Lonchura striata: one gene and its partners. The protein of the gene in region 1 interacts with the protein of each later gene in a biochemical or structural test. Links are inferred from orthologs where the notes say so. Each region holds a gene or a part of one and is shown in the gene's direction. Other genes may lie near its edges. The genes, in order: CDC25A, YWHAQ, CHEK2 and CCNE1.

Region 1 (7,513 bases):
ACCAGCCTTTTCTAGACAGCAGACCATGGGGGGAGGTGAGCTGGCTGATAACAAGGCAAAACAAACCTTCACTTTCAGAGTCAGTTCTGAAAGCACAGAACATAATATCAAACATAACCAGAACACACGATTGGAGATACAAACACCATAACGTCACCCTAGGACACCCCCCTGGGCACTGTGAGCCCTGGTGGGGCTGGGGACACCTACCTGGCACCCTCTGCATCCTGCTGTGGCTCTGGGCCACATGGGGACACCGTGCTGTGACACTGTGGCACCGTGCTGTGACACTGTGCAGTGACACTGTGCTTTGCCCGCTTTGGGTCAGGACCCTGAGGGAAGGGAGGGTTGGAATGAGGGGTGGGGTGAGCTCCAGCCCCCTTAGCCTGCTTCACACAGCTGGGCAGCCACTGCAGCTCCCTGTCCCTCGGCAGTGCCACAGCTCACCTATGTTTTCTCTCTCTTGCAGGACGCTGGCAGAATCCTGCACAGGTACGAAACAGGCTCGGTGTCCCTCTGCTCCTGTGCAGCTCCTTTGGGCAAAGGTTTGGGAGCGCTGCAGGAGCCGGGAAGGAGGTGGTTTGCCCTGCTGGGTATTTGGGATTTCATGTGACGTTACCAGGAACCAGAGGCCATTGCACCCCTCCTAAAGATGGGGTTATATCCCTGTGCTGATAGCAGGGATCTGTGGCTGCGGGGAATTCCGTTTCCCTCCTGGCCCTGGCTGGTGGCTGGGCTCTGAGCTCCTCTCCCTGTTCCCCTCAGCTGTGAGGCAGCCAAGGCCCCAATCCCAGAGCCAGTTTCCTCAGAGCTGCATCAGAGCGTTGGGAGCCTCACTAGGAAGAGCCAGTGGATCGTGAACATGATGGACAAATTCAAAGGTAAAGCCCTGCTGGCTCCGTGCTGTGCTTCCCCTGGGCTTGGCTGGCAGTGGGAAATCCTCACTGCCTGGTGCCTCTGCCTGGGACTCAGGAGCAAAACGGCTGCTCCAGGTGGGCACCATCCCGGGATGGGCTTTGCTGGAGCCTGGGGCTCCACATCTGGCTTGCTGTCTTGATGGGGAGCAGGAAGAGAGACACTCATGCCTCTTCCTTTCCTCCTTCCAGTGAGCCTGCGGAGCGAGATGGACAGGGGAAAAAGGGGTAAGTTTCTGGAGCTGAGGGGGGAAACTGAGGGAGCATGAGTATCCTCATGTCCTTGGTGCAGAGATAGGCTCACACCACATCTAAACCCAGCTTCTGTCTAGAACTGAGTCCTGTTGTTTTGACTAGGCCTGCTGTAAAAATCCAGGTCTGTCCTTGTGCCAGGCAGCGCCAGGGATGCTGTCCTGTGACGCCAGGCGAGGGCCAGGACAGCAGGAGGCCGTGTCAGGCTGTGCCCAGTTAAGCAGAAGGGCTGTACATGTTTTTTGAGCTGGCATTTAGGCATGATCAGAAGTGCTTTTGCAGGTCCTCGGGACCCGCATGATGGAGCATTGCTGGGCTGAGGTCTGGCTGGCAGCATTTGTGCTAAGGCCGCTCTCCACTCTCAGTTTTTGGGATGATGCACTTGAGCACATCCCAAAAGGAGAGTGGTGCCTCAGTTTCCCCCCTGCAGTCCCCGGAGGAGTGGGTTTAGCAGAGTGTCTGGGATGGTGACGCTGCACAGTGACAGCAGTGTGGCCTTGTGGGATGGCCACGGGATGGCAGCAGAACATCCCTGGTGGATGGGAAGCAAGTTTACCCGCTTGCTCGGCAGAGCAGGGCTCCGGGCTGGGTGAGCCCTTGTCACAGAGCAGGGACTGGCCTGGCCCCTCCTGCCTTGCAGCAGTGCCCGCTCACACCCGCGGGATGCACTGCTCCCCACAGGCTGCAATATCCAGCAGATCTGGCAGCAGATTTAACAAAGCCCATCGTGTCTGTCCCCTGCATGTGGGGACACTGCCTGGCTCAGTCCTGCCTCAGGGAGCATCTTTCCACCCTCAGGTGCCAGTAAGTGGGGACAGTAAGGGTCCTGTGTCCCATGCCACCCGAGGGGGCTGCAGGAGTGCCCGTTGTGCTCCCAGGACACATCCCAGCCCCGTGGTGCAGGCTGGAGGAGAGCTGCTGGTTCTCCTCTCAGCAGGCACAGATTGATGTTTCTGTCATCCATTAGAGCAGGTGACACTGGACCAAGAGACGGCGAATCTTGACCTGATCCTCTCGGACGACCGCAAAACTGTGCGGTTCAGCGGAAAACGTAACCCCCCTGACATTCCCAAGAGGTTCACGGGCAACCTCAGTGTCCTGGGCTCCCAGGGCTTCACGTCTGGGAAGCATTACTGGGAGGTGGAGGTCTGCAATAAGGGCTCCTGGGCCCTGGGGGTGGCCCTGGAGTCTGTGCCGAGGAAGGAGTCGCTCAACCTGCTCAGATCTGAGAAGGTCTGGGCCCTGCAGCTGGACTGGACAGGCTACTACAGAGCAGAACGTGTGTCCCCTTACCCGCTGGCACTTCGGAAGGCGCCTCAGAAAATCAGGCTCCACCTGGACTACGAAGCGGGCCAAGTGACCTTCTACGACGCAAAGGACATGACGCAGATCTTGCAGTTTGAGACCACCTTCACTGAGAAAGTCTTCCCGTATTTTTGGGTCTGCTCCCAAGGTAGCCACATCCGGGTGTGTGACTGATAGGGTGGGATGGCTGCCCGTGCCCTTGGCTAGCTGAGCAGGGAGGAGCTGTGGGAATGTCACACTGCAGCCTCACTGCAGCTCTGCCTGGGCTGGATCCTCTCTGCAGTTTTCTGCATCTCCTCCCGCTGAGTCCTTTGGAACATTAAAGAAGTGCTGTCCTGCCTGGGGGTGTCTGCGTGCTGGTATCCTGGCTAGATCCCATGGTGATGGTGTCTTCTCCCTGTGGGCACTGAGGCCACAGAATAATCGGGAAGAGGGAGGGGAGAGGCTCTGATTGTCCATGCCAGCCTTTGGCAGCACTGCAGGACTGGTGGCAGCTGTGCTGTGCTGTGCTGGACAATGCAGCCACCCCACACTCAGGAAGCCAGGCTGGAGCCACGAGCTGATAATGATGCCTTGAGCTGGTAATGGTGCCATGAGCTGATAATGATGCCTTTCATATTTTTTGGATTATGTGCTGCTTTGGTGTGTAGCTCTGAGCTTTGTGTTAGGTGTTAGCAAGTTCTCTTAACAGGCTTGGTAGAGAAAACAATCCTTTTCCAGCCTGAGACCAGTGATAACCCTTAGAAGGTCCAGGCCCCAAAAGTATAAACAACAGTGAATTGAAGAGAGAAAAAGAAGAAGGGTAGGACTTCATAACCCTGAAGCTGGAATTGGACAATTAACTCCAATATGCAAATGGACCAAAACTTATAAAAGTGAGAAGCCTCATGACTGGTCATGCATTTTGTGACAATTTTGGTTCATTTTGGGTGTAGCCCTGGCTGGGCTCTTGCGCTGCCCAAGATGCAGCCATTAAGGCCTTTTACTAAATACCTACTTTATTCTTTAACTCTGTCTAGCCTCTGTTCTGGGTCAGCCTTCACAAGGCATCAGTTCTGGCAACCTAGATGGAACAGAACCCACAATTCCTGGCTTAGGAAGCCAATGCTGTTTGGTGGTGGTAACTGCTGAAAAAAGTCTTGTAAAAAGGAAAATGTTCAGGGAGGGATAGCAGGAGTGAGGGTGCCTGGAAGAGCAGCAGGAGCCGGGGTGTGATGGCAATCTCTGAGATCCGGCATGCTCAGGGAAGGATCAAACACCCCACTGTCTAATCCAGGAACCAGCAGCACTGTGTGACTGGGGGTGGCAGGGCGCAGGGGTCGTGTCCTGGAGATCCCCTGCATCCAAAGCGATCAGCTGGACACAGCAGCCTCTGGAACCACCAGAGACATGGCAGAGGATTTGCCAGGGGCTGGACAGCACGGATCTGCGAACGCTCAGCTGGGGAGAAGCTGAGTGTCCTAAAGAGTTTATGTGGAGTACTGTCAAGTCTCCCTTTTCCTGCTCCTCTGTCCGTGAACCCCATCCTGGTGTTGCAGGGATGTGCAGTGCCTTACTTCCCCAGCCGCTCACCAAACGCCTCACAAAGTGGCTTTTGTTCTCAGGGAGAGCTCATTTGATGAGAAACCATGTGGGAAGGGCTCTTTGTCTCAGCGAGGCGGCGTTATCTGCTGAGTTTGTGCCTTTTTTCCTTCACGTTCCCCATTTTCCCCTCATGCCCAGGCTAAAGGGAGACGGCCGGAAACATGGCGGCAAAGAGGCGCCGCTATGAGACGGGAACTACATTACCCAGCATGCAACGCAGACAGCGATAACGCGGCGCGCCTGCTAGGAATACTGGGAAATGTAGTCCCTCCGCGCTGGCGCGCACTCCCCCCCAACTCCGATTTCCTCGCGTTCCTATTGGTCCAGAGCGACGCCAAGCAACCGCCGTGGGCGGGGCCTGGCCGCGGCGCCGCCGTTCCTACTGGCCGGAGCGCGCGCGGTGGGAGGGGAGGTTTGAAAAAAAACAACCCGCCCCCCGCGGGGCCCCGCGCGCTGATTGGCCGAGCCGCGGTTTGGCGCCAGCTTCAGAGCGGGCGACGGGTACCGGTTGGGGTCAAAACGCCGCGGCGGCCGCGCTGACGGGACGGGGCGGCAGGGCTGCGCTGCATCCCCGGTCCCGCTGCGATGGAGCCCACCCCGAGCGCTCCGCACCGCCGCCGCCGCCTCCTGCTGCTCTCGCCGGCCTCCCCCGCCTCGCCCGCCGTGGTGAAGGCGCTGTTTCAGGATGAGCTCTCGCCTGTCTCGGATCTCCGCCTCACCATGGAGCAGCTGGGGCGCGGGTGAGTCGGGGCGCGGGCCCCACCAGAGCCCGGGCGCCTCCTTTTTCTCCCCTCTGTGGTGACCCCCCCTCTCCCACAGGAAAAAGCGAGGTTTGGAGGGCTCGTCCCGCGCTGCTTCCTGCCGTGCCAAGGGAGCTCCTTCCTGCTCTGCTCCGGGCACTTTGTCCCTCTCCAAAACGCTTTCTTCCCGCTGCCGGGCCTAGGGAGGCTCCCCCTTGTATAAACCCCCCCCCAGGCCTCCAGGAGTCCTTTTCCTCGCCTTCCCTCCACCCCCGTAATTCCCTCCCGCGCTATTGTGAAAAACGCGTATTTTACACTGGGAACCCTTAGGGAATTACACGGATAAAAACCCCAAACCCCTTTGATGGCTTTATGCCCCTCGCAAGCCCCAAAGCCCCAGGCACGTCTTTTAACCCCCCCCTCACCTTCCCCAGCTATTCCCAGCTCTCAGGAACTCCTTCCCTTCCCTGTCCCCCCTCCTTCCCAAGGAAAAGCCTCGGGGTGCTCATCTGCCCTAGCCCCCCAAAAAACAGCCTCGTGGATCCCTCCTTTTCCTTTCCCCCCACCCCCAATGGAGGGTTCTCTTTATTCCCTTTCCCCCCACCCCCAATGGAGGGTTCTCTTTATTCCCTTTCTCCCCGCCCGGCACTGCGGGCTCATCCCGCTTCCTCTCCTTCCAGGCGCCCTCCCCACACCTCCAGCCCCTCTTCCCCCAGCCCTTCCCCCAAAAACGAGGCCTCCCGGGGCTGTTTCTTCTGCCCGCGCCCACCCACGAGGCCTCGGTTTTAACCCTCCCGCTGATCGTGAAAGGGTTTTAAAATCACGGGGATTTAGGGTTAGAAGGAAAATGAAGCTTAGTAGGCCCTGGGAAAATACCCTGGGAACGTGTAGGCCTTGTGCCTTGCTGGAACTGCACCTGTGTAGCTGGTACGTGATAAGTGATATAATTGTTAGATGTGATGATTGTTTAGTAATTAAATATAATTACTGTTTGATCGTAGGAATAATCATGAGAAACTGGTCAGAAGCTTAAGAAAGATCACGAGAAACTCATGGTTGAATAAGGTCAATGTATACAATAGAACAATATAAGTTTAATTAATAATTAATATGTAAGTTCTGTAAGGATAGAATATAAAATACGTTCAGCTCGAAAGCCATGTGGGAGTCAGATTTGGGTCTGTACCCCTGATTCCCAGAGCTCTCAATAGAAGCAGCTGCATAGAGTCATATCCTGTGATTCTGTGTGCTCCTGACCGCTGACACCACCCCACAAACCTCCAGGAGTCCCTTAGGGCCCCCTTTGGCTGCTGCCTCCCATCTGTTCTGCCCTCCTGCCCCCATCCCACACAGATCCATGCTCTGGGACACCTTCCCCCTGCCCAGGTTCTGCTCTGGGCATTCCCCTCCCTCCTGAGCCCTTCCCTGGCTTTCCCTCTCTCCCACAAAAAGCTTTGTGTCCCTTCCATGTCCTCCTGCCTGCCCTGTTCCTGCTCTGTGCTCTGCAGCTGCACCCCTTCCCTAAACCCCAGCTGCTCCCTTTTCCTGCTCTCTTAACTCCTCTAATCCCATTATTCCCACAGTTCCTCCCTTGTGTGGCTCCTGTTTTGTCCTGGCCCACTCAGGTCTCAATGACCCTCCTGGATTTTGTTTGTTGATTTTCTGTTCTCATTTCTGCCACCACCTGCCTTATGGTCCCATCCTTCCTTCAGATTCCTGGGATTCCTGCAAGCCATTGGCAGTGCCCCTCTTGGAATTTATTCAGCCCTTTGATTTTGTAGCCCTGGCTACATTCTTTTTTTAATTAACCACATGCTGGAGCCTCACTCAGGTAGCTTTTCCTTTTTATATGTGGGACTCCATATGATTTTCTTCTCTCTCAGCACTGAGGTTTAGCAGATAAAACAAAATTTGGGAGGTAACTATTTATCAAAATGGGTTTGAATTAGAAATTCAGCAATTTTATCAATGCAAAACCTGAATTAAAGGAGTGTCTGCCAAAGAGGATTGCAGTTCCAGGAAGGATAACTGGGCTTTGATAGAACTCCAGGTGATGCCCACCTGTGCTGTACCTACCTGCAGTGTTGTGTTTCTTGCTTTTAAAGCAAATCCCAAATTTTCCTTTCCAGGCAGCATGAAAATTTGGACCAGGACGTGGGAACCAAAAATGGATTGCACAGATCAGCATCTTCAGAGTCCACAGACTCAGGTGGGGCTGCCTCAATTAATAAATTCTGATTAGGAATTGCAAAGCAATGCACTCCTACATGGCACCCAGGGTTTGGAGAGAGAACTGGCCCTGCCTGCAGCCCCCTCTCTTTCCCATGCCCTTGGAAGGAGGGAGGCAGATGGAAAATCCCCCAGGAAACCTCTGCAGCTCGTGGTTTGGGCTGTAGATTTTTTTGAATTATTATTTTAAATTTTGCTTTAATTGTCCTGGAGGCTGTGAGCAGTAGGGAGTGAAAACAAGTCCTCACTGTGTTTTCTCTCTTTAAACCCAGACTGTGCCAGTGAGTGGCTCTGTCCTGTGTTCTCCTGTTACCCAGGGCACGGGTTGGTGATCTGATCTGAAACCCCTCAGTTCTGGTACTTCCTGGGAGGATTTCCTGTTTTTCACATGAGATGTTTTATCGTTGAAAATGAAATAAGCTCTCACCCCATAACTTGTAGATTCCCTCTGGTGCTTCATTGCTCCAGCTGAGGGAAATCACTGTTTCC
Region 2 (7,975 bases), on another chromosome or scaffold:
AGAGATTCATTGGACCTGCTTAGGACCAAAACAGACAAACCTGCACTTTAATGCCAACAGCACAAAAAAGGGAATGGTTCTGTTCAGCCAGCATCCTCCTTCCCTCCCTCACAGGCCCATCAGGATGAAAGGAAAGCTCTCTGAAGTAGGGAGATGGCTCACCCAGGTAACAGGCTTGACTCTGTTCCCTAGAGCCTATTGCACTCTCCATGCTACAGAAGGAAATACAGAGAAACCCAGTCATGTTCAACAATGTTATAGATACTGCACCTCCCAAAAAGAGGCATGGAATCTAACAGCAGTTACTGAAATGGTAGGAGGGAAGAGAGTGTCAGACAAAAGCTGAGACACTCCTATCAACCATGATCAGTAGCTGCCTCAGCACATCAGACTACAGCAACATTTACCTTGCAGCAGGTATCAATATTAATCAATACCATCCTTTACAAGCAATGACCAAACTGCTCCCAGCATGGAGATACACTTATCTTGAAGCCACTTAAACCAGAAAAATGGCACTCAGCAGCAAAACTGAGGTTCAGTACCACCCTCCCACACTGACAGTCATCATCCTAACCCAAGTACTCCTTGATTCCTCTCCTCCCAGCAGAAGAAAACTGTTTGCATAAAACAGCACCCAGCAATAGCTCCACATTCATCAACACCTTCAGAGGCTTGTTCTCTGGAGCAATTAGTTTACACCAGCAATGAGCAAGCCATGCAAGTATTTTCAAAAATTTAAGAAGTCCTGTGGCCTCCTCACAGCACAGAACAGACAGAATATGGAATGAGGCTAGTTTTTAAAGAGCTTGATCCCACTGACTCACATTTATTTGTCACTTAACTGAACTCTGATGATGCTTTAGCCTCTTACATGAATGGCTTTCTATTTTTAATGTAAGAGCACTCATGCTACGCTCTAGCACTTTTTAGATATGAGAAAAAAATACAAGGATAACAAGAGATCTTATCCTTTCATTCCTAAGTCCCCCAACCAAGTGCAAGATAAACAAATTTAAGTAAATTTAAGTTTTATCTAGAAGAGTCATGGCCACTGGTTCAGTTCCTCTCCAAAGGCTTAAATACACATCAGTCTATATGAACACACTTAAAATGTTTTTCATGTTTTAGCTAGAATGGTTTAGCTATTTCTCACAGAGAAAATCAGAGAGAATTCCAGTTTTGTCCAGGATGACACACTTTATTACAATTTGCTTATCAAAAAATTCCAACACCTGCAACCAAGTGGCACCTTTAAATTCTTCAAGAAGTTGGGCAAATGGAAGTTAAATCTTATGCTGGTTTCATGGAAAACTAACCAAACATGGAAAACATAAAGAAAAAACTCAATTTTAATACCCTCAGATGACATATTAAAATTTACCTGCAGAATTTCCTTAAAACTCCAGCTCTCATAAAGGACTACTAAATGTCTAGGCCCCCTAAGCAAGTCTTCTTCTGTCCCCCAAAGTTTTAGTAAAAGTTGGAACAAAGGAAGAGCAGAGGGTACAGATACAGAAAGAATGACAGCAGGAGAACAAGTGTACAGACAGGAGTTGAGCAGAAGACAGGAATCAGAAGGGGATGAGATGGGATGTAAATTAGGGGGCTGATAATAAGGAGAAGATTACAGGAAGAGTATGGGAGCAAAAGAGACCTTAACCACCAGAACACAGGGCCTTAATAAACATAAAATATGTTCTCTTGCCATTAAGTGAACAGACACGAGACTAATTGTACAGGATCTCCATCCCACTCAAGACAGGACACAAAATGAGTAAGTTTTTCTACTGTTACTCATGACAGGACTGTTTTGCATAGTTCAGGACCATGCTGCGTATCCAAAAGGCTCACTCACACTGTTGTTCAGTGGTATTCTAGGTAAATCCCGTGACAGAAGTCTGCTTTTGGGGGTTCTTTGCTTGTTTAGCTTCATTCACAGTGCTGTATGTTTGCTTTGTGAGATGCCACTTTGAGCTGTTGTGTACCTGTTGTACAGACAGCAGGAAGGAAGTTCCTGACTGTACCATCTCAACCTCCTTTGCTGTAGAGATGGAAAGCATTTGATTGGGGTTGTTTCTGCTGAGAAAAAGCAAGAAAAGTCTTATAGCAAATAACAGAGGCTCTAGAAAACTGTCTTCTAACTCTGTTGTAAAGTTCACATGTAAGTCTGAGGAATTTGCATTATATATATTCTTTATTTTTCTCCCACACCCCAGTTGAGTAATTTGTGGTGTGAGCTGCTAAGATGCTGAATGTGAGTAGGTGCATCTGAAGTCAGTGGGAGGTGGACTTTCTCTACATGCAAAGTAGCATAAAGCATCTACCACCCTGGAAATGAAAGTCTTTGATACGATATTTACCACCTGGGAAATTAAGCTTAGATTTCTTCATATAGGTAACCAGAAGTGTTCATATTTTTAATTTCCTGCACCCAAGACAGAATAAGGCCAGCCATTTCATAGTGGTGACAAGGGTAAAGTCCTTAATGGTCAGTAAGATTATAGCACTCCTGAAATGCTCTACAGGAAATTAGGTTTTTTAATTCAATAAAGGATAATGTTATGCAGTAAACTGTACATTAAAGTACACATGGACTAAGCATGTATAAGAATATGTAATAAGCAATAAAAGAAACACAAATTTGGAAAGCTTCTGGAGCTTACTCTCCTGCTATCCCAGGCAACTGCTTATGTGCAATCACATAAGCACTTTTATAAACTCATCAGACTCTGCTTTCTAAGCGAATGGGCTTCCTGCCCTCAGCACAGGGAAACTGTCTCATGGCCTCATTGCTCTGAAAATTCCAAATCTTCTAAGTCACAGTCTAAATTCATTACTGACCATTTTACACACATTTGTCTTCAATTTAAAAAACAATTCTACATCCATGCCATTTACTCTTTTGAGAAAATATAAAATCTCCTCTTCATTTTTCTAATCTAAACACAACATATCCTTCAAGTCCCTTCTCTGAAAAGCTCCCCAAAGGACAACATTCCTAATCAGCAATAGGATTCTTCTGGGGAAATAAGCTTATGGCTGTATGATTAAAATCTACATTGCTGGGCAATCTTATGGCATGTTAGCCCACAAGACCCAAGCCTGAAAAGCAAGGAGCACAGAGGGGGTTTGAAGCCAGACACACACAGGCCACACAGCTGCTATGCACACATACATCAGACTCTGCATCACACATGGAATTCAGTCTGCATCCATCACACTGCTCTGTGCAAACTGCTCTGCTTAGTACTTCCCAACTCTTGACTTAGTTCTGTATTTCTTAATGCACCCTCTCAATAGGTGGAAGAGAGACAGGAACTAAATGTTATGAGGGTAATTCTCAATATCTTCCCCTTTTCTTTGAGGTGAAGCAGTGAAGGAAGTAGCCTCAATCAGGTCAGTGTCTTTCCTCAAATAAAACACACTCACCTGTGCCTTAAAAGTGGAATGGTTAGTTGATAAAGACATGGTGTTAATAAAAAAGGTTTTGTTACACTATTGGTCAGCTTTGGTCTTTACTTCATGTAAATGAAGATAATTATAAGGGACTAATGTAATTGCAAACATATCCTACTAACAAGAATAAATGGGCATCCTAAAACTATAGCAAGTTGCCAAGAGGTAACTTCCGAGGGAGATCCAGAGTGGTTTCTCAGTTTCATTAAATTTGAAAATATTTTTATCATTAGTTCTATTTTTTTTTAATAAATCAATGTTTCCCAAACTCAAATGACAAAGAAAAGTGTCTTGTTCATAGTATAGCTCAAATTTCCATACACATAGTCCTAGTACTAGTCCAAACACATACCAAAAGCTTTATAAGTTGAGACAGTAACATCCTGGGATTGATTCAGAGAATTCCTCATCCCATCTGGATGTTGAAATTCCTCAGTATGACTATATTTGGTGATGCTGAAAAGAAAGGTGAGAAATGTCATCTCTTGACACACAGACCTGGTACTGCAGACATTGGAGGACCTGACCTCGCCTGAGCCCTGATTCACCAGATGCATTTGACCTGTTTTGTACGGCAATACCAACAACACAAACCCACCGTGTCCTTAGCACATCCTCTGAGGCTCAGTCAGCGTGAGTGCACACAAGTCATGCATCTACTCAGCCAACGTTCTGGACCTACATGTGGCCGTAGGTGCCTTACCTTTATCCAGACACGGGTGGGTAACATGCCACTACTGTATGTCATAGCACGGGCTGACCTCTAGAGAATTAAGGTGAAATCAAGAGGATGAAAACAAGCAAATATACTGAGAGCTTGTGGGAAATGCTATCTTCAGCCACGTGGGGCTGCGGGAACACGGACTCGGGAACACGAAGCCCCGCAGTGCCCGTCCTGGGCCCCGCCGGCCCGCGGCGCCCGGCGGCGGCGGCAGCGCCCGGACTCGGCCCGGCCCGCTCCGGACGGACGGACCGCACGGCCGCTCCCGGCCCTGCCGCGCCCGAGCCGCCGCGGGGCCGGCCGGGCAGGGCCGGGCTCGCCGCCCGCTCCTGCGGGAGCTGCCGCCGGCGCGGCGGGGAGCGGCGGCCCGAGGGCGCGGCCGCCCGCGGGCGGAACAACAGCCGCCGTGGTGCGGCCGCGGGCACCGCCTCGCCCCCCGCTCCCGCCCCGCCGCCGGCAGGGGCACCGCCCCGGCCGGGGCCCTCCCGCCGCCTCCCCCATCCCCGCTCCCTTCCCCTTCCCGGTCCCGGGTGCCGAGCGGGGGGAGCGGCGGCGGGGGGGGGCGAAGGGGGGTGTAGCGGCGTCACCATGGCGACAGTGACGTCACCCCACCCTGGATCTCATTGGAGGAAACCCCGTGGCCCCAGCCGCAGCCCACGGGCCCAGCCGAGCTCGCGCCCTGCCCGCGCTCGCCCCCGCGGCGGCGCGCTCCTCTCTGATTGGCCGGCGGCGCGCGGGGGGGCGGGGCCGGGCGCGCAGGCCGGGCCGCGATTGGCCGCGTGGGCGCGGGCCGCGCAGCGGGTTTGTGCGCGCGCCAACGCCCTTCAGCGCTGGCTCGGCCGAGACGGGAGCGGCTCTTTCTCTCCGCCACAGCCCCGAGCGCGGCACCGACCGGGTGCGGCCCGGCCCCACAGCCCGGCGGACCCAGGTGAGCGCGGGGTCGCGGCCGGCGTCGGGATGGGCCCCGCTCCGCTGCTTCCTCCCGCCGCGTCCTCCATTTTGTGATCGCGGCGTGGAGAGCTCGGCGGCCCCGGGGAGCGGGAGGTGCATCCAGCGCCGCCATTTCGCACCCGCCGCCGCTTCCTCTTCCCGCCCCGTCGCCACGGGGACTCCGCCGGCCGCCCCCGCGCCCCCCGCCGGCGCAGGAGATGCGGCTGCTGAGCCCGAGACCGCACCCGCCGCCGTGTACCGGGAGCCGCCGCGCTCCCCGCCGGCAGCGCGGGGCCCCCGCCGCGCCGGGGTCCGGATCGGCGGCCGCCGAGGCCGACAGGGAGGCCCGGGTCCACCGCGCCCCGCCGCGGGAAGGAGAAGCGCCCAGGGCCCCCTCGCCGGCCTCGCGGCCCCGGCCCCGCTCGCCCCCAGGGAGGCGGGTCCTGGAGGGGTTTAACCCCTGCTGTGTTCTCCGGCGCCGAGCTCGTCTTGCTGCTTTTATTATGTATTTGTTCCCGCCAGTCCTGGCATTCATGCCCGCCTGCCTCCGGTGCTCGCCCGCAGGACTGGTAGCACACGGAGGCAGGGATTTGGGCGAGGGCCCTAGGCGGGGTGGTAACCAGGAATCATTCCACGAGTTACGGGGCATATTAATATGCTCACGTAGGGCACGAAGGAAAAGCGGGATGATGACTTTTTTCTGATGGAAAAACAGCTGTTGCCACTGCTTGGGCGGCTGGCTGCCGTCCCTTGTATAGCACCGACCGAGTGCGACTTCTCCGCCTGGGTTTCTAGGTCGTGGTTTCCCGAGGGGTGGACCCTTGGGGCGCGTCCCCGTAGCCTTGCATGGAAAGGCAGGATGTTGCAGTCCGTCTGTCCAGGAGGAGCACCTGGAGATGGGGAAGGGACGGCAAGGCTCAAAGTAATTCTCGTTTTTGCTGGGTTGCAGTGGGTGCTGCAGGATCGTGTTTGGTGGTGTTTATCCTGGCATCATGGTTGCTGTCTTCTTTCTGTCAGGTTTTGAGGTGCATTCTCGTCCTGATAGTGTGACATCTCCAGCTTCTTCTGCTACTGCACTGCTCTTGTCCCACTGCCAGCCACCATGGATAAGACCGAGTTGATCCAGAAAGCCAAGCTGGCTGAGCAAGCCGAGCGCTACGATGACATGGCCACCTGCATGAAGGCAGTAACGGAGCAAGGTGCCGAGCTGTCCAACGAGGAGCGCAACCTGCTCTCCGTGGCCTACAAGAACGTGGTGGGGGGGCGGCGCTCGGCCTGGAGGGTCATCTCCAGCATCGAGCAGAAGACAGACACCAGTGACAAGAAGATGCAGCTTATCAAGGACTATCGGGAGAAGGTGGAATCTGAGCTCAGGTCCATCTGCACCACGGTGCTGGTAAGTCAGGACTTTGTTTTTTCTTATATTTTGTTTAAGGTAAAAAAATACAGTGTTTAAGTGTGCTGCTGTACTGGAGGAAGCATTGGGAACTTGCTTGGGGCATATCATGCAGTGTTGTGCTGGGGTAGGTGAGGTCAGTACCGTAACTTCTGCAACCCTTACGTGGGTCACTGCAATGAGGAGGATCAGCTGCACTATGCTGTTGACGCTATATTTGTAGAGGTATTTGAGATAGTTAATTTTGAGTGTCTATGAGGTACGTTTTTGGGTGGAGAGATCCATATGGAGTATTTCACCAGGTAATTGCAGAGATACAGCCTCTGTGCTGTGGTTAGTAAACATATTCATAAGATAAACTGAAAATGTGGAAAGCCCTTTATTTAGATCAGCTAATAACTTGCTACAAACATTGAAGCCATGTATGCATTTTGTTTACTTCCTGATGAAGAGAAATACTCTAAAGGGGTCTTCAAGAGACATTTTGATGAATGCTTTAACATAAATTTAACTTTTCAAACTTAGACATCTATATTGAAGGGGAGAAAGTGACATGTAGAAATTGTCTTTGTTAGATGCAAGCTGACTTCTCAGGGTAGCTTTGAGATGGTTTTGCAGTAATTACGGAGCAATGTAAAACTAAGGTGTAAAGACCAGAATGACATCCTAAGCATGCATCAAACACAGAAGTACATTTCTGTGGAAGCAGCAGAATTCCAGGTGCTGTTGGTAGGAAAACTGTAGTGCACTGCAGTGGGAGCTCATGAGATGTGTGTCTGCAGTGTGGAGGCTGCTGGACCCAGTTTTACATGACCAGGGAATGATATCTGAAAAAAACTGCACGTGCATAATGCAATAGTAATTCTGTGGGCAGATCATCTTCAGTGGTTGATTTGCTCCTCTTAGTTACCTTTTTCTGGTGTCTAGTATTGCTAATGTGAGACCAGGAGGAAGCAAGTCTATAAGGAAATAAACAATTTTGAGGTAAACTTATTCTAGATTTGTTTAGGAGATGTGAATTTAAAGGTGACTGGTTTGGAAGTAACTGATTTTCTTCTTGATTAAGTGTTTTGGCTCACATACAAGGGAATGCTTCTTTGGACTGTGCTGAAAATACCTATATGCTTCCTTGTATGCTGCCATCTAGGTTTGTTCTTTTTTAATCAAAGTGAGTTGTCTTTCTTTGAAAATAATTTTCATATTTATTAGCTTTATGAATCAGTTAATTCCTTAACACATTTGAGCCCATGCCTTCCGCAAGAACAAAATTGTTTCAAAAGGTGTATTGAAATTGTAAGACTTTCACCTTTGTGAAAGTAATACTTCTGTAGGATTCCTACTTCCTCTGACAAGAGTTTCACTGGACGCCTGTGTTGAAGTGCCAGCATTTGTGTCACTCTTCTTTCTCTACTCAGTGCCCCACTTCAGAACTAACTTCTTGGGACCTCCATATAAAGCTCTCACTTCAG
Region 3 (7,541 bases), on another chromosome or scaffold:
TCACAAAACACATAACAATAAACATTTTGGAAAAGAACTGTGAATGAATACCCTTTAATGACTCCTGTAAAGTGGCTGCAGTACTGATCTATCCTTGGCAAGACAAATGTTTTTATTTAAAAGGTATATAAATAGACCAACTGACATAACTGAAACATGCAAATGAGGAGGAGGCTGGTCTGGACAGTACCAAGTCCAAAACTGATATTGAAACAATTTCTCCTCAGTTAGGTTTATGACCTACAGACAAAAGTAACACAGCCCTTCTCATGGCACAGAGTAACAGGACATAACTCATCACAGGCAGGCCCAGCCAGCAGGGCTGTGATGTTTATTCACCCCTGGCAAAAGTGCAGCATTCTGGACCTGGCACAGAACCACAAAGGTTTCTTCCCAGCTTCAGAAGCTTGGGAATGATTCAAGCTTGTGCCCATCCATTGGCTGTAGAATAAAGTTATGTTATTGCACAGGAAGTTCCCAAATCCTTATGCTGAACAGGCCTTTACTTGCCACACAGCTGCTTTGGCTTCCACTGCAAAGAACAGCACTCACTGCTCTACTGCAGCTCCAGAACTGCAGAACAACATCTCCCAAATTCAAGTGTGAAACCTCAGAATATGTCTAGGATGAAGTCTGTCCTTCCCAGTATTCTGGGAGATGCACAAACAATTTTTTAGCATCTACATTCCCACCCAAAATGATTATTTAGATGCAAGATGAATGAAACTTTTGTACTGTACTTTGCTTTTAATGTGAGCTCCTGAATTTCCCAAATCAGCAGGAATGTCAGTTTAGAAGTACTTATTCTAAATACCTAACAAAGAACCCTTGTTAATGCAGTGTTTCTATTCCATAGCTCAGGAAATATTTGCCAGTAAGAGATTGTAGAGCTTTAAGCATTTGACAGTTATGTATGGCAGCTAAAAACTTCATAAAATCAGGTACCTCTTTCAAAAGCTGCAGTCACCTCTCTGGTCAATTCTTCTTGTTTAACTGTAAGACAAATTATTTAATTTACTTTTTTTTTTATACTTAGGGTATTTGATACCACTGTATTCTGACTGCCTGTGGTGAGAAAGTTCATTACTAGTTTCAGCCTTTGGCAGCCAAACAAGTTTTTCATTATACTGCTGTCAATGTTTTAATTATAATTTCAAACATGTATTTCCTTATTTAAACAGGTATACTGACAGCAACTCCAATGCACATCAATGGTCACTAATTTCTCAGAAATCCAAGTTATTTTTGGTCTATCAGTTTGCCCTGCTACAGTTAATTTTCTCCTGTCTTACTCAGTTTTTATTCTAGTTATTGTAGTTGCTTTTAGCACATAGCTGTTATGGCAAAGAATTAAATGTATCAGTAAACCAAATGTTTTTGGTATCACCAACAATATATACAAAAAGTTGCTTGTATAAGGAGAATAACCACTTAATATAATGGCTGCCAGATGAAGAAGGTGAAAGAACTACAATGCCTTTATAAATAACATTATTTAGTGTGGTTAGACAAGCATTTTATTCAACTTCATTCTGATAGATTTTTTTCTTTGGAACAACTGACTAACCCGATGAAGGTTTAGTAAATTCCTTTTTATTGTTTATATATATTTATTTTGACATCAGAATAGTTCTGTTATACAAATGTTCTCAAGACAGATGTGATGTTTAGGTGCATAAATAGATAACGACAACACTGGAAAAAGGGGAACAGGGCAGAAGCTCTTGCAATGAGTCAATTCCAGACTAACACAAATTGAAGACATTACAAGAAGTATACCAAAACAGTTAAAATTTTTCAGACTTTTGTATTCCATAAGATGCAGTATATTAGTTCCGTACAAACTCCCCAAGTCATAACCTACCTTTAATTACATTTTCAACTTCTTCAAGGTTATCCTTGTTTTTGGGCTCTGCTAATTTCTCATTAATTTCCATGATTTCCATAAGGAACGCTGAGTCTCCATCACAGTCTGTCTCTTGTGCTGGCTCCACTCCACTCAGCTCCAGCTGGCAGAGGAAATGGGAATTTGAAAATAATTATTCCCACATCTATTTCAATGGGAATTATTTTCTTTAATATTAAGTCTCTTAGTGGGGCATACTCAAATTCATATTCGATAAACCTACAGTGCATAGAGTCAATCTGAAAATCAACTCCAAACATAAGTTGACCATAAAAATCAGCAGTTACCCAAAGCCAAAAAAAAACCATAAAAAAGGCTGCCATGGGCCAGACTGAAATTCTGAATGTGCAGCCATGGCCAGACACCACGTGTAATGTTAAAGATAAATTAACATCACCACGTGTGATGTGAAAGACAAATAACTGTAAGGTGAGTAGCAAATTAGATGATATGCTGATTAAAATTTAGACAAACTTGGTTCTGGTCTCCCTTCAATCTCTGGTGATCCTCTTCAGAGCAATGCAAATGAGAAAATTGAAGGACTGAATGCAAATTAAGGACCGAATCGAGGGTGCCATCCCTACCAGCGCCCAGGGTTAGTTACAGGAACATTGCAATAGCTACTGGAGACCTTACTAGATAGAGGCCTCGGCTCAGAGGGTTCAGCAGGGTCTTGTAGGCCTTGTTGATCAGGGAAGAGTGCTGCTCAGAGTAGTACTGCTCTTTCTGCAAATGGACGGCAAATAATTGGAAGCTAAGAACAAGTGGCAAAATACACTGTTAGATGCGGAACGCCAGCGTCCCCACACCAGTCCGTGTGACTCTGGACCTGGGACCTGCGGCACAGCGCTCAGCTGAGGCCTGACAACCGCAGCGGCTCCTCATCGTCCGCTAATGCACGGCAGGGCAGAGTTCTTCTGAGCACCGAAAGACAAACACACGCGAGCCCCCTCACTCCCCGAGCGGGAGAGGCGGGGACCCGGCTCTGCGGCCCCGCCGCGCACCGAAGGCCAAGGGCGAGTTCCTCCGGCGGTCACCGAGCCCCTCCCGGCCCGGCTCCCCGCCCGGCCCGGCGCTCACCGGCGGCCTCTGGCCGAAGCGGTCGGGGTGCACGGCGCGCTGCAGGCTCCGGAACCGCCGCTGCAGCTGCTCCGGGTCGATGCGGAAGGAGCGGTCGCTGCAGGACACAGGGCGGGTGAGAGCCGCGGCCGGCCGGGCTCGCGGCCGCCCCGCCCACACTCACCAGTCCATCAGGCGGAAGAGGTCAGGCCGCGGCGCCGGCGGCTGCAAAGCCCGGCAGCCGGGGCAGAAGCGGGGCGGCCCATCGCCGCCGGGCAGCGCGGCGCCGCAGCTCCAGCACGGCGGCCCCGGGGCGCGGCCCAGCGCGGCCCCGCGGAGCGCCCGGCGCGCCCAGCCCAGCCGCGCCCGCAGCGCCGCCCGCATCGCGCCGCGCTCCCGCCGGCCCCCGCGCGGGCCGCCCGCTCATTGGCTGCGCTCGGGGCGCGCGCCCCGCGCGCATGGCGGCCCCGGCCCGACGGCGCCAGCCCCGCCAGCCCCGAGAGCCGTGAGTTCGGGTCCCGCTCCCGCCCTGCCCCGCTCCCGCCCTGCCCCGCTCCCTTCCCTGCCCTCCTCCCCGGCCCGCCGCCGCCGCCTGCTCCCCGCGGCTTCACGGGCCGCAGTGCTCATGGGCACGGCGGGGCCGCTGCTGCCGGTGTCGGTCCGGGGCGGCAGTGCTCCGGCGGGCAGGGCCGCTGGGGCCCGGCCCCGCCGTCTGAGCGTTGAGGGTCGGGTTGGATACGAGGGAAAGCTCCTCCACAGGTCGGAGGTGGGGTCAGCATCCCTGTGGGCGCAGGGACACGGCCACAGGTGGCATTGGCAGCGCTGGGGAAGCGCTCGGAGTCGATGGGCTCTGTCTTTTCCGTGGTTCTGCCCTGCCTGGGGAGGAGCCCTGGAACAACACCTGTAACAAACGGGGCGGGGGAGGGAGCTTGGATCTGCCGTGGCTTTATGGCTCGGAGTGAAATGTAGCAAAGCATAGATTGAACTGTATGGCAAGGAGCGAAACACCCGATACACAGGTGCTAAGGTTGGACTGCTGTGCTGTAGGGAGGACTGGGGCAGCATTTAATTGGAGAAGGAAGCACCACAGCCTATGGATTTCCCGGCTGTTTCTTGCCGCTGGCTGTGGTGTCTAAATCTGTTAAGGTTTTGTGCAGTTATTGTGTACAAGTGTGATAAATCTCTCGGGCGCTTTAAAGAAAACCTATATGATTTTACAGTTCTCATTCCTTTCAGTTTTCTCTTTGTGCTGGGGGACCAGCCGTTGTCCCTTGCTCCGTGCGGGGATGCTGTCCGAGCACAGCCCATGCCTGTGTGACCCAATGGGAGCGCTGAAGTCCCCGGTAGCAATCCGGGAATGAGGGTTCGTTCTGCTTCTCTAGAACCAGCAGAGGCCGCTCCACGTTGTCTTTTAAAAGGAAACCATCCTGGTTTGCACAGTTCCTGGGAATTTACGGATAACCCAGACACGCACGCTTTGGATGGAAGTTTTACTTCTTTGAGGCTGAGAATGGACTTGGACATTAATAGTGCAGTATGTGAGTGTTTGCTAGTTTTACTTTGCTATAGTAATTGTGGTTTTTTTAACATTCTCTTTGAAGCCAACATGTCTCAAGAGACTGGAAGTGAATCACAGCAATCTCAGAGTTCCCAGCAGCCACAGAGTGGTACCAGTTCATCCAGTGGGTCACAGAGCACTAGTCAGTCTTCCTTAAGTTCTGGAACTCTCAGTTCCTTGGACACTGTTCCCACTCAGGAGCTTCCATCCATCCCTGAGGACCAGGAATGTGAAGAGCTGGTTCCTCAGCCTTGGGGTCGACTCTTTGCACTTGGAAAAGGTTTCAGCAATTGTGGTATGTGCATGCTGTAATAAATCTCTTGGTTTCTTTGTAGGATCTCAGAAAAGGTCTGAGCAGCTTGCTGAAGAGCAGTGTCTTTTCATTTTCAAGTTAGGTACAAGCAAATTTAGGTATGGAACTTTTTGCTCTAATGTTTTATTCCATACTACATCCAAGTGCTTACACTGAGTTCTCAGATACACAACTTCCATAGACTTACAGAAATTCTGGGGTACACAGCTTCCACAGACTTACAGAAATTCTGGGGCGTTCATATTCTTTGTTACACGCTTCATTTAAAAAACAATGTATATTTTATTTAGTTATATGTCTCTATATGGTTGATGGTGAACTGAAGAACACCATCAGAGGTGTTCATCAACACTAAAGAGGGTAAAATTATTAAAGGGTTTGACAAGGGGTGATGCTTTGTATGAGTTAAGGCAGACTTGATTCTATGGGAAGAATCTTGTCTCTGTTATACTGTTCATTACCATTTGGAATCATCCTGTAGTGCCATCGTTGTTAACTTCCTGCAACATTATCTTCCCTCCCTGCTGTACCTTCCCCTCCTCTGCAGACTGTGTGAATGAGGAATACTGGTTTGGGAGAGACAGAAGCTGTGATTACAGTTTTTCTAAGCTGGGATTGTCTGAGACTAGCTTCTACCAAAACTATAGCAAGAAGCACTTCCGAATTTTCAGGGTAAGTGCTAAAAATGTTCACTTGAGACTTTGGGGCAGAGATCCTAAAGAAATCAAAGTATCTTCAGGGTTGACTCCTTTAACCTGACTTTTGGCAATGCCCCATTCATATGGTTTATGAAATAAACTCAGTCTCATTTCTTGAGTCAACAATAGTAAATTTCTAGTGTATCATGTCTTTATTGTAAAGTCATTTTTCTTTACTGTCATCTTCCCCATTTTTTTCTCTTTGAGGAAATGGGTCCAAAAAATTCCTTTGTTGCCTACATTGAAGACCACAGTGCAAATGGGACATTTGTTAATAGAGAGCTCGTTGGAAGAGGGAGGAGGCTTCCACTGACACACAACTCTGAAATTGCATTGTCTGTACAGACCAATAAGGGTAAAATGTGCTTTAATTTTAGTAGGTTTTTCATGTATTGACCAAGAGGTTGTTTCTGCATTGATTTGAGTATGTTTTTGGGAGCTGAGCTGCTTTGTGAGCACATCTCATTAAGAGGTGTTTTAGCACTCACATAAAAATTATCCATGTCAACCCTGAAAAAAACCTGAAAAAGAAAACTTAAAGAAATATGCATCATTATATCAGAAATATACTTACTAGAGTATAAACTTTTATAGGTTTTTTCCTGTTTTTGAAACCCTTTGGGGCTTCAGTAGCTGTTCATATTGATGGTGGGAACAAGGGAAACAGACTATTGAAGAAAAGTTGAATAAAACCCCCTTGATACCTAACCAGATGCTGCATAATAAATAGAAAATCCTCTTAAAAATAAACACGGCTGTGTTTCTGTTTCTTTGTCTTCGATTTTCCACTAAGATGCTGTCTTCTTGATTATTACTTCTCTTTGATTTTTGCTGGGACATTGAAATTTTTGCTCCTTTTGTCTTTAAATGTAATTAATTAGTTAAAGACTGTTGTGAATTTAGTCCCAAAATGTAATTTTTCAGCAATAAGATCACCTTGCCAACCCATAGCTGGTATAATTTATAGCATATATTTAGTTTTTCCTCTAGCAGGCAGTATTTTCTCAGTTATATTGTTGATTATAAAAACTCACAAAACATAGCTGTTTGTTATAATAAATATTTTAAACCTAATAATAGGAAAATGATCTCCACTTGCCTTCCCAGTGTTTGTATTTTCTGATCTTACTGTGGATGATCAGATGACGTTTCCTAAAGAATTCAGAGAGAAATATATCATGTCAAAGACTTTGGGAAGGTAAGCATCCTTCTTCCCTCAGAAAGGGTTAACTTCATTATCATTATCAGTATCTTGGAATTATTACCTGTATTAACTGAGCTGCTGTTTTAATAGGAAAAAGGAAAAAAAAACCAACGATAACATGTGAATAAGTATGTTCTTTACAACAATTTGAAGAGGAATTTTGTTTTTGTCTCTCTACTTGCTTTGGGGTTTGCAACTTACCACCAATTGCAAAAGCCAAGTTTTGTTTTGGTTGGGTTTTTTTTCTGTAGAAGAGAATGAAATCTCTAAATTCTTAATGTATTTTTAAAGTTTGTATATTAATTTACTCAGTTGTTGAAAGTAGAAGGAAGAGCTTTTTGTCAGAATACAGCTTCCTACAATATCACTATTGAGGCCTTCAGATGAAAAGGAAAAGAACTATCCAGAAAAAAGGGGAGAGAAGCTATTTTTTTCTGTTTTGGAAACAGCTGGTCAGTGACGAATCTGGAGGTGAATAATTAAGTAGAAACAAATCCAAGTGGAAAACAGAAGAATTTCTTTCTGTAATATAAGTGCTATTTAGTAAAAAAAAAAAGTATTGTCATATCTGTTCCTCAGACTTGTACAGTCCAATGTTAAGAGAACTTTTCCTAAGTTCTCTTCTCTAAATGCCTTTGCATGAAGGAAATCCTTATCTGCCAGTACTTTTGGTACAAATAGAGCGACTGCTTTGCATATTGACTCTTGCAGTTTTGAATGAATGTCCCTTGGCAACACTTGTGTTTAAATAGACTTTCTAACTCTTGAATGTTTTCTGAGAAGTACTGTAGACTTTCTAACTG
Region 4 (7,476 bases), on another chromosome or scaffold:
TTCCTTAAAGAAAAGCAGGTACAAATTGGAGGGATTATAATGCCTCATAGCCTGCTGCTTATAAAATCTTGTCTAGGGAATTTCATTGTTTAGCAACACACAAGTACAAAGCATATACATTTTGAGCACAGATGGCTTCCTAACTGAACACTCACTTGTTTTCATTACTATGCTCTAATATCACAAATCTTTCATATTTATTATGTGAAGCTGTGAATGTGCCAGACAAGTCACCTTACTCTGAATATACCAGGATTTACTTCCAAGTGCAACACAGATGGAGTGAGCAAGACCATATACTTTATTTTTAAATGTTAACACCAATTTGAACTATTTGATACGATATGTAAACATCTAAATAGCAGCAAATGGTTACATATCTTCTTAAGGGCTACTGTGGGCATCATTTGGGAACATTGTCAGTACAAACATCCATGGGAAAAAAAACCTTTTCTCTAGCTCTTCTTCTACAAGAAAAATGGACAGCTTAACAGTTCCTTTGGAATACTGAGCAAGAAACCCAAAGAGATTCCCATTCCAGAATAGTTTGGCAGTAAATTGCCAAACTACTGAGTTTTCCAGCTCTGTGTAAAAGCTGGGAAGCTCCTGAAAGCATCTATCATGAAAACTTTCATTTCTCTTAAAGCACAAAAAACTAAAGAATTGAACTGCAGAAAGTGTTAAACAACCTATTGATGTTTATGGAGGTTCTCCTGATTATCTCTGAGACTTATCTCCTTAATAAAGGATTTGTTTCTTATATTGCTGTTACTCTGTTCTGTTCTATTCTCTAACAGTGGTCATACTTTTAGAATGAAGACTGGTGTGGAAGTATATTGATGTTCCTGTGACAGGAAAATGGGTTAATTATAACTCTAAGCCCTGAATTTGTCCAAATGTGTAGAGAAATGACTGCATTCACCTCATGTGTCTCCTGACAGGTAGGTTTAAACATATATTCAAGTTCAGAGACTGCAATGCACTTGCAGAAAAGGTAAACCAGTTAAAGCTGGAACTGCAGAATTGAGTACAACTGTTGAAAAGACAAAGTATAAAAGCCAAATTGAAATTTTTTTGTAATACTGATTTTAAAGCTTATCTCAAAGTTGCTCCAGCAGCTTTGTGCATGCCAGCAGTGGTAGTAACTGCTTCTGTTCCGTCCTTCAGCTTCAGCAGTATTTGGTGTCTTCCCCCTGCTGTTGAAGGTTTCAATGTGTAATTATTATGTAAGGAAATGAGCAAACATTGCTCCACTGCAATGTGGAGCAATGGCTTTATGAGTTATAGATTATCTGTGCAAGCACTTCCTCTGGCACAGGAAGGCAGAGATTAGTGTTTGCCACTCTTCTGATGTGATCAAAACACGTTATACCCCATGGAGATACCGCAACAAAAAAATATAAAGGCACAGTACAGAATACAGAGTTACTGCACACTTGTTCTTTCAGGAGGAATGAAAAGGAAGAAAACTTCCTTGTCCTGTTCAGCTTGCAGTCAGGGACTGTTCTAACTGGGTGGACATCTCACACATGCTCATCTGGTTCACAGGTACTGAAGCCCACCAGGTTAGCATCATTTTACCCCAGGGCTGTTTATCCTTTCAATGATTCTATTCTCAGCATTCTTTCCTAGTATAGCCTTACCAGGGCTGTGCCCATAATCTACCTTCTGTGATTTGTGTTGCATTTTGACCTTGTTCTTCTACTCTTTAAACTAAGCTCTTGTATTCAATTTTGTTCTGTCTGTACAGTCTCATTCTAATTTATAGATTAAAAATGTTTCAACCGATTTGTTAATAAAGTTTTTCTGAAAGTAGCAGCTTGTAGCAGTGACAGTTTGTTCACTGAATACATTTTAAAACCTTGGACACCACCAGAGAATGCTCATAATGCTGTGGGCAGGTCAAAGAAAAAGCACATCAACAACCCAAGACAAGGTGTAATGAAACATTTAAAACATATCTGACCTTTCAAAAGGACATACACCCTGTTAAAATCTACTGACCTATGAAGATTACTACACCACTTTAAGTCCAACAGCAATTCTGACAGCAGTCTCTTCTTGCCTCTGGCTGAGAATGGCCTTTTGGGCCTGCTCTTCTGGACATGCAAAGCAGGCATGTTCGCTGCCAGGGGCCTGGAGAGAGGCTTAGAGGGGACAGAAAAGGGCCTGAGCCTTTTTTTTTCTTTAGATCCTGAATTCTCTGTGCTGTTTTGTTACAAATACAGCTGTGGGGTGATTCTGCACCCTCCAGGTTCCTAAGGTATGCATGCAGTGTATCAGCTGTGCACATGGCATAGCTCCATGACCTCAGGAAACCAGAGGATTGGACAGAGCTAAAAATACAGTTGCTTGTCAGACTAGATTGATGAAGCATTCTACATCCAGAGACCTTGAATGCCAGCAACAGCCCATATTTCTGGCCACTTTATTTAACTCCTTAAATTGACTTGATTCATCCAACTCAAACAACTTGAACTGTACAATTTGAATCTAAGCTTTTTCAATTGTTTTGAGTGCAAGTGATACTTATCTTAGGTTGGTTTGTTTTTGTTGTTTTTTTTTTTTTTTTTGTAATCTAGAAGGCCTACTTCCTATGTTGAAATAAACAACATGGATTTAAGCATCTCTAATCTATGAGTTTCAAGATGCTTTTGATCTTGAGCTGTAGGCTCAATTTAAAATTCTGGCTATGCACAAGTGGTTTTGTGTAATGGTCATCACGTAAAGAAAGAATCCAAAACTTACAACTCCAACATCCTTGTAAACTTCTGCCTCCTGACGTGATTGATCATTAATCTGGGTCAATGGAAGAGAACTTCCTGGTGTTCCTGCAAGAATAATGCTGCTCAGCCCAGGGCATGCACAAACCAAACCCATGGACAGTAACAGCTTTGGGTAGGTCATCCATGGGGATTGCACACTGAAACAGGGACATACAGGACAAATTTGTTCAAAGGCTGCCCTATCTCCTTATGACATGCCTTAGTGATCTTTCTTTCCTTAGCTGAACTTGGCAGAGCTGCTGTACCCATTCAGCTCCTCAATTTAATTCACAAACTTGAGGAATGCCTGCTATAATCCCTATTGCACTAGGTCTGCTCTTAGCTTGCTATTCACATACTTGTAATTAATCCTGCATTAGTGCTGCTCCAGACAATACAACCCATGGGCACGACTGACCTCTATGTCAGCACAGAACACCTATGCCAAGCATCAGTGAGTTAAAAAACAGTTAAAGCTGTTCTTAATCTGCAAAATTGATTGTCTCTGATCTTCATGGCAGAAATACACACAAACAGATTTTGCTGGAGTTCAGTGAATTTGCCTTAAGACCAAAGTCTCTTCTGATATTTGGGCTCCTAAGGCCAGGCAGTGGGAGTGTGCAATGGGGACTGAGCTGAGCCCTGTGCAAGCTCTGTTGGCTGGCCTGATTTCCCAGCACAGGGGGAGCTGGCCGTCCCACCTGGGGCTGCTTCTGGGAAAACCTGGGGCACGCTGAGCTCTGGGCATCAGCCTGTCCAGGGCAAGGTGGGCTGTCCTGACCAGCTCTGCCCACCCTGAACTCCCGGAAAGGTGGGCGAGGAGGCCAGGCTGGAGCAGATCCCGCGTGTTGTCTGAGCTTCCCACTGCCTCTAAGGGCATGAGAGATCTCTAGCCAGCCTCCATCCCATCCCTGTGCCCATCTGAGCACCTCCCTGATCCTTGCTTCTTGACACAGAGCTGGCCGAGCCCGAACCCCTGTTTCATCAGCCAGGTCCCTGTGTGGAGCTGCTTCCCGCCGTTTTTACCTCAGAAACGGGGAGCGCTCAAACGTAGGGCGCTTCACGAGGGGCCCGTGGCTGCGGTGAAGGGACATCCTTCCAGGGGGACCGCAGCCGGGATGAGGGGTGACGCCGGCGACTCGGTCCCGGCCCGGGTCCCGCTGGCCGTGCCGCCCGCCCGCCGCTTACCTGGCAGCGCTCCCACGTGCACCATCCGGACCACCGCCGCCGTGAGCCGCCCGGACAGCCCGGGCCGCTGCACGGCCTGCGGGGAGGGGAGGCGGGCGTCGGCGGGGCCAGGCCGGGCAAGCCATGGAGGCCGCCCCGCCTCCCGCAGCCCGGGCCGGGACAGGGACCGGGACAGGGACCGGGACAGGATCCTCGGCTCGGTTCGGCCCGGCCCGGCGCGGTCCCACGTGCCTGCGCCGCTCCCGCCGCTTCCGCGCCAGGGCCCCGCCCCGGACCCGCCCCCGGCCCCGCCCCGGCCCCGCCCCGGCCCCGCCCCTGCCGCGCGCGGGACCCCGCGCGTCTCCCGCGCCCCGCCGGCCCCGCCCCGGCCCGGCGGGGCCACGTGCGCGGCCGGGAGGCGGCCCCGCGCCGCCGCCGCGCGTTTAAATGTCCCGCCGGGCGCGGCCCGCGCCGTGCGCACGGACGGGAGCGGCCGCGCCGTGAGGCAGCAGCGCCCGGCGGAACCCGCCCTGCCCCACCGGCCCGGCACCCGCCGACCGCCCGCTCCCGGGCGGCAAGGGCCGGCGCGGCGGTGAGTGAGCGGCAGCGCGGGCGGGCGGGGGGCGGTGGGCGGCCGCGGGGCGGGGGGAGCCGGTGGGGCCGGTCCGGCCGCCCGTTGCGCGCCTCTGCCGGCCTTTGTGGGGGGGCTGCGGCCCGCTCGGCCCCGTTCGGCGCGGCGCTGCGGCCGGCCCGGGCGGGTGCCATGCGCCGGGAGAGGTGAGTGCCCGGGCCGCCCTGCGCGGGGCCCTGCAGGCCGGGCACCCCGAGCCGTCCGCGGCCGCCGCTCGCTCAGCTTCCCCTCTCTCCGCAGCGACTGCGCGCACGACAAGGCTCCTGCCGACGCGGGCACGGAGTCCGCCATGCGAGCCCGCAAGAGGAAAGCCGATGTGGCCACGGTGAGTGCGGGCCCGGCCCCGCGCCCTCGGCGCCTTTTGTTGGGTGCGGGCCCCACGCGGTGGGCCGGGCCGGGCCGGGTGGGCCGCGGGGCTGTGCTCCTGCGGGACCCGGCCTGTGTCACAGCTGCCAACAGCTGCTTGTCCCGCCGCCTGTGCTCCGGAAATCATGTGTCGCTTCTTGTAGTTCTTACAGGATCCTGATGAAGAAATTGCCAAAATGGAGATGACTAGAAAAAAGCCGTGTGAAAAACAGGTAATTGAATTTGCTTTATATGTAAATATTGTAGTCTTGCTTAACCCTGCACTTACTTTGCAGTACCTCATTTTTTATGGCAGTGTGGTGAAACAGGTCTGCTTCTGCTACATGCTGCATAGCAGTTGAGGGACTGTTGGCCCTGGTTGATGATGGAGTGTGCAGAACAACACAGTTCATATTTCAATACAGTTTTAAAGCCTTTGTAAGATATAAGGCCTGTCTTGGTCTGAGGCATCATGTTAATGCTGAAGTGTATTCACCTGTCCTGGGGTTGCAAAGGTGCACCTGTCAAGCCTTTGGACTTATTCTGCATGAGGTGCAAAAGTACAGTCATGTGCTTATGCACCTTGTACCTGTGCTCCTTAAGCAAGCAGACAGAATCATCTCTTGAAGTGGTTCTCTTTGGAGCTGTGTCTCTACTTCTTTGTCATCTGGGAAAGAGGAAAGTGTCCCCTTTTTCCTGTTGACAAGGGTAATTATTAGACAGGCTAAGTAAGGAGTTCTTGGTTAGAACCTGGAAGTGTGTACTAGATACTCATGGTATAGTAAAACAGGCTTTGTTTCTCTGCAGAGCAAAGGAATATTGCTATAAAGTTGCTCTACGTGTGAAAATTAGTCCTGCGGTGGAGGTTGATAGTGACCATTGCCAACTTTCTCAGCAAGACATGTAGAATGAATCAACTTAAAAAGTCAAAACTCACTTTACTGGTGTCCTCTAGTTCCATTTGTGTGCTTTCCATAGTCTTGAAAGAGCAGATGCTTTTGGGATCTCTGTTGGATGCTGTGTGATGTTGAAAGCATGATGCTTTTGTACCTTGAGTAGCCTGTGTCCTGGAATAGGTTCATTCCCCTCCTTTTTCCCCTGAACACGTGCACTCCTGCTCAGTCACTGTCACTCCAGCCTGTCACTGCACACACAGGGTGATGGTGAAGTTGTGGAAGTCGTGCTCAGGGTGTGCTGCCTGTCCTCATTTGGTAGGTGAGGCAATGCAGAATGTGGCTCATCTAACCCAAAGTGGCAGCTGGAAGTTCTAAGACTGAAGTGCTTCCATAACAGATGGGCATCATTGTTTGGAATGGCCTCTGCTTGTTGCAACTGCGTACACTAGTTATCAGTCAACATATTAAGCAGGGCTCAAATGGTGAGCATTTAATGAGGGGATCTCTCCTTCCCTTCTGTCTTTCTTTTGCACAGTATATTAAACTAATTTCTCACTTCTGACAAGGAAGAGCTGCCTGTCCTTCACTGCAACTTTCTCCTTCACCAGAAGATTCATTCTGTTTAAACTGAGCAAGGCCTTCTCGTGCATGTTTATTGCATAATAATAAGGTATTTCTTAGAAAATCTCAATGGGGACCCAGTTTTACTGTCTTCCAGAAAGACAGTGGAAGGAAACTTGAAGTATCTTTTGCATATGTTGACCTTCAGTTTTCAAAGCAGATAAAGACTTCCAGTTTTGTCTCCTTGTTTGTACTCTTGGCTTGATAGCCATTTAGTGTTACTTCAGTATGGATAGGTAAACTAAAACTTAGATAATATAGGTAGTACACATCAAAAATATTTTCTTGGGAATTTTTCAAGGTAATTATAGTATGCTGGTAGAATTTGACCCTTTCATTCTATAAACAATAAATAATATCATGCCTATATCTTTCCCTACAGAGATCAGGTATTTTTGTTGTGACAAAGTAGCCAGATTGTTCCAGATCTGGTTAAAAAAGCTAACATTTGGCTGCACAGTGGCAGCTCTTCAGTCTGTGGTGTGACACAAGCTATTCTCTGATATAAATTGCCATGGACCACTAATGAGAATATGTTTACGGTTCCAGCAGCAGTATAGCAGGCTGGAATGATAGCCAGGGCGACAGTTATTCTGTGGAGACACGACAGTTCTAAAATGCAAGCAGCTATAAATCCACTGCAGCCTATACCACATGACTTCTGCATTAAATAAATTGTTTACTGACACTAGCTTATCCACAAGGCAAAATATCAGAGTCACATCCCACTTTATGACATCTTCATAGTCAATTCATTAGTTTGCTTCTGTGGAACATAAGGCCTCAGTTCTTAATTAGGATGCCGTTACCCTTTATGTGATGAAAGGGTGGCTATATCATCAGGTCTGTGACAGCAGAATATTGTATAAATTCTGTGTTTGATTTTGGAGAACTGGCACTGCTGTAATTCTGCTAGCAATTCTCATACTAATTCTGGCTGCTTTGTGGGGATGAATACACTTGTGAGGCTCCATGTAAAACAAAATTCATCTAACTAGATTAGAATAATCTGTGTAATTGTGATACAAGTTGCATGATCACCTCCATATAA

The links.
Region 2: the proteins of CDC25A (region 1) and YWHAQ form a complex in vitro, tested with the Homo sapiens proteins (2 studies listed by BioGRID, with this or other methods). The link is inferred for Lonchura striata from reciprocal best matches to the Homo sapiens genes CDC25A and YWHAQ.
Region 3: of the proteins of CDC25A (region 1) and CHEK2, one has a biochemical effect on the other in vitro, tested with the Homo sapiens proteins (5 studies listed by BioGRID, with this or other methods). The link is inferred for Lonchura striata from reciprocal best matches to the Homo sapiens genes CDC25A and CHEK2.
Region 4: the proteins of CDC25A (region 1) and CCNE1 form a complex in vitro, tested with the Homo sapiens proteins (2 studies listed by BioGRID). The link is inferred for Lonchura striata from reciprocal best matches to the Homo sapiens genes CDC25A and CCNE1.

The regions. Positions count from the first base shown.
Region 1 is NC_134603.1:156,255,470-156,262,982, forward strand, and holds the start of CDC25A (M-phase inducer phosphatase 1), read left to right. Parts: upstream 1-4,512; 5' UTR 4,513-4,640; coding exon 4,641-4,795; intron 4,796-6,924; coding exon 6,925-7,004; intron 7,005-7,513. Other genes in the region: E3 ubiquitin-protein ligase TRIM7-like, read left to right, coding at 470-492, 766-881, 1,107-1,142, 2,134-2,645. UniProt on the Homo sapiens protein: Tyrosine protein phosphatase which functions as a dosage-dependent inducer of mitotic progression. Directly dephosphorylates CDK1 and stimulates its kinase activity. Also dephosphorylates CDK2 in complex with cyclin-E, in vitro.
Region 2 is NC_134605.1:98,813,376-98,821,350, reverse strand, and holds the start of YWHAQ (14-3-3 protein theta), read left to right. Parts: upstream 1-4,963; 5' UTR 4,964-5,108; intron 5,109-6,127; 5' UTR 6,128-6,212; coding exon 6,213-6,506; intron 6,507-7,975. UniProt on the Homo sapiens protein: Adapter protein implicated in the regulation of a large spectrum of both general and specialized signaling pathways. Binds to a large number of partners, usually by recognition of a phosphoserine or phosphothreonine motif.
Region 3 is NC_134620.1:10,023,834-10,031,374, forward strand, and holds the start of CHEK2 (serine/threonine-protein kinase Chk2), read left to right. Parts: upstream 1-4,527; 5' UTR 4,528-4,571; coding exon 4,572-4,818; intron 4,819-5,383; coding exon 5,384-5,508; intron 5,509-5,741; coding exon 5,742-5,889; intron 5,890-6,641; coding exon 6,642-6,732; intron 6,733-7,541. Other genes in the region: iron-sulfur cluster co-chaperone protein HscB, read right to left, coding at 946-993, 1,865-2,009, 2,543-2,632, 2,987-3,083, 3,150-3,349. UniProt on the Homo sapiens protein: Serine/threonine-protein kinase which is required for checkpoint-mediated cell cycle arrest, activation of DNA repair and apoptosis in response to the presence of DNA double-strand breaks.
Region 4 is NC_134615.1:9,263,094-9,270,569, reverse strand, and holds the start of CCNE1 (G1/S-specific cyclin-E1), read left to right. Parts: upstream 1-4,462; 5' UTR 4,463-4,524; intron 4,525-4,803; 5' UTR 4,804-4,852; coding exon 4,853-4,888; intron 4,889-5,072; coding exon 5,073-5,141; intron 5,142-7,476. Other genes in the region: uncharacterized protein F13E9.13, mitochondrial-like, read right to left, coding at 2,749-2,831, 3,954-3,978. UniProt on the Homo sapiens protein: Essential for the control of the cell cycle at the G1/S (start) transition.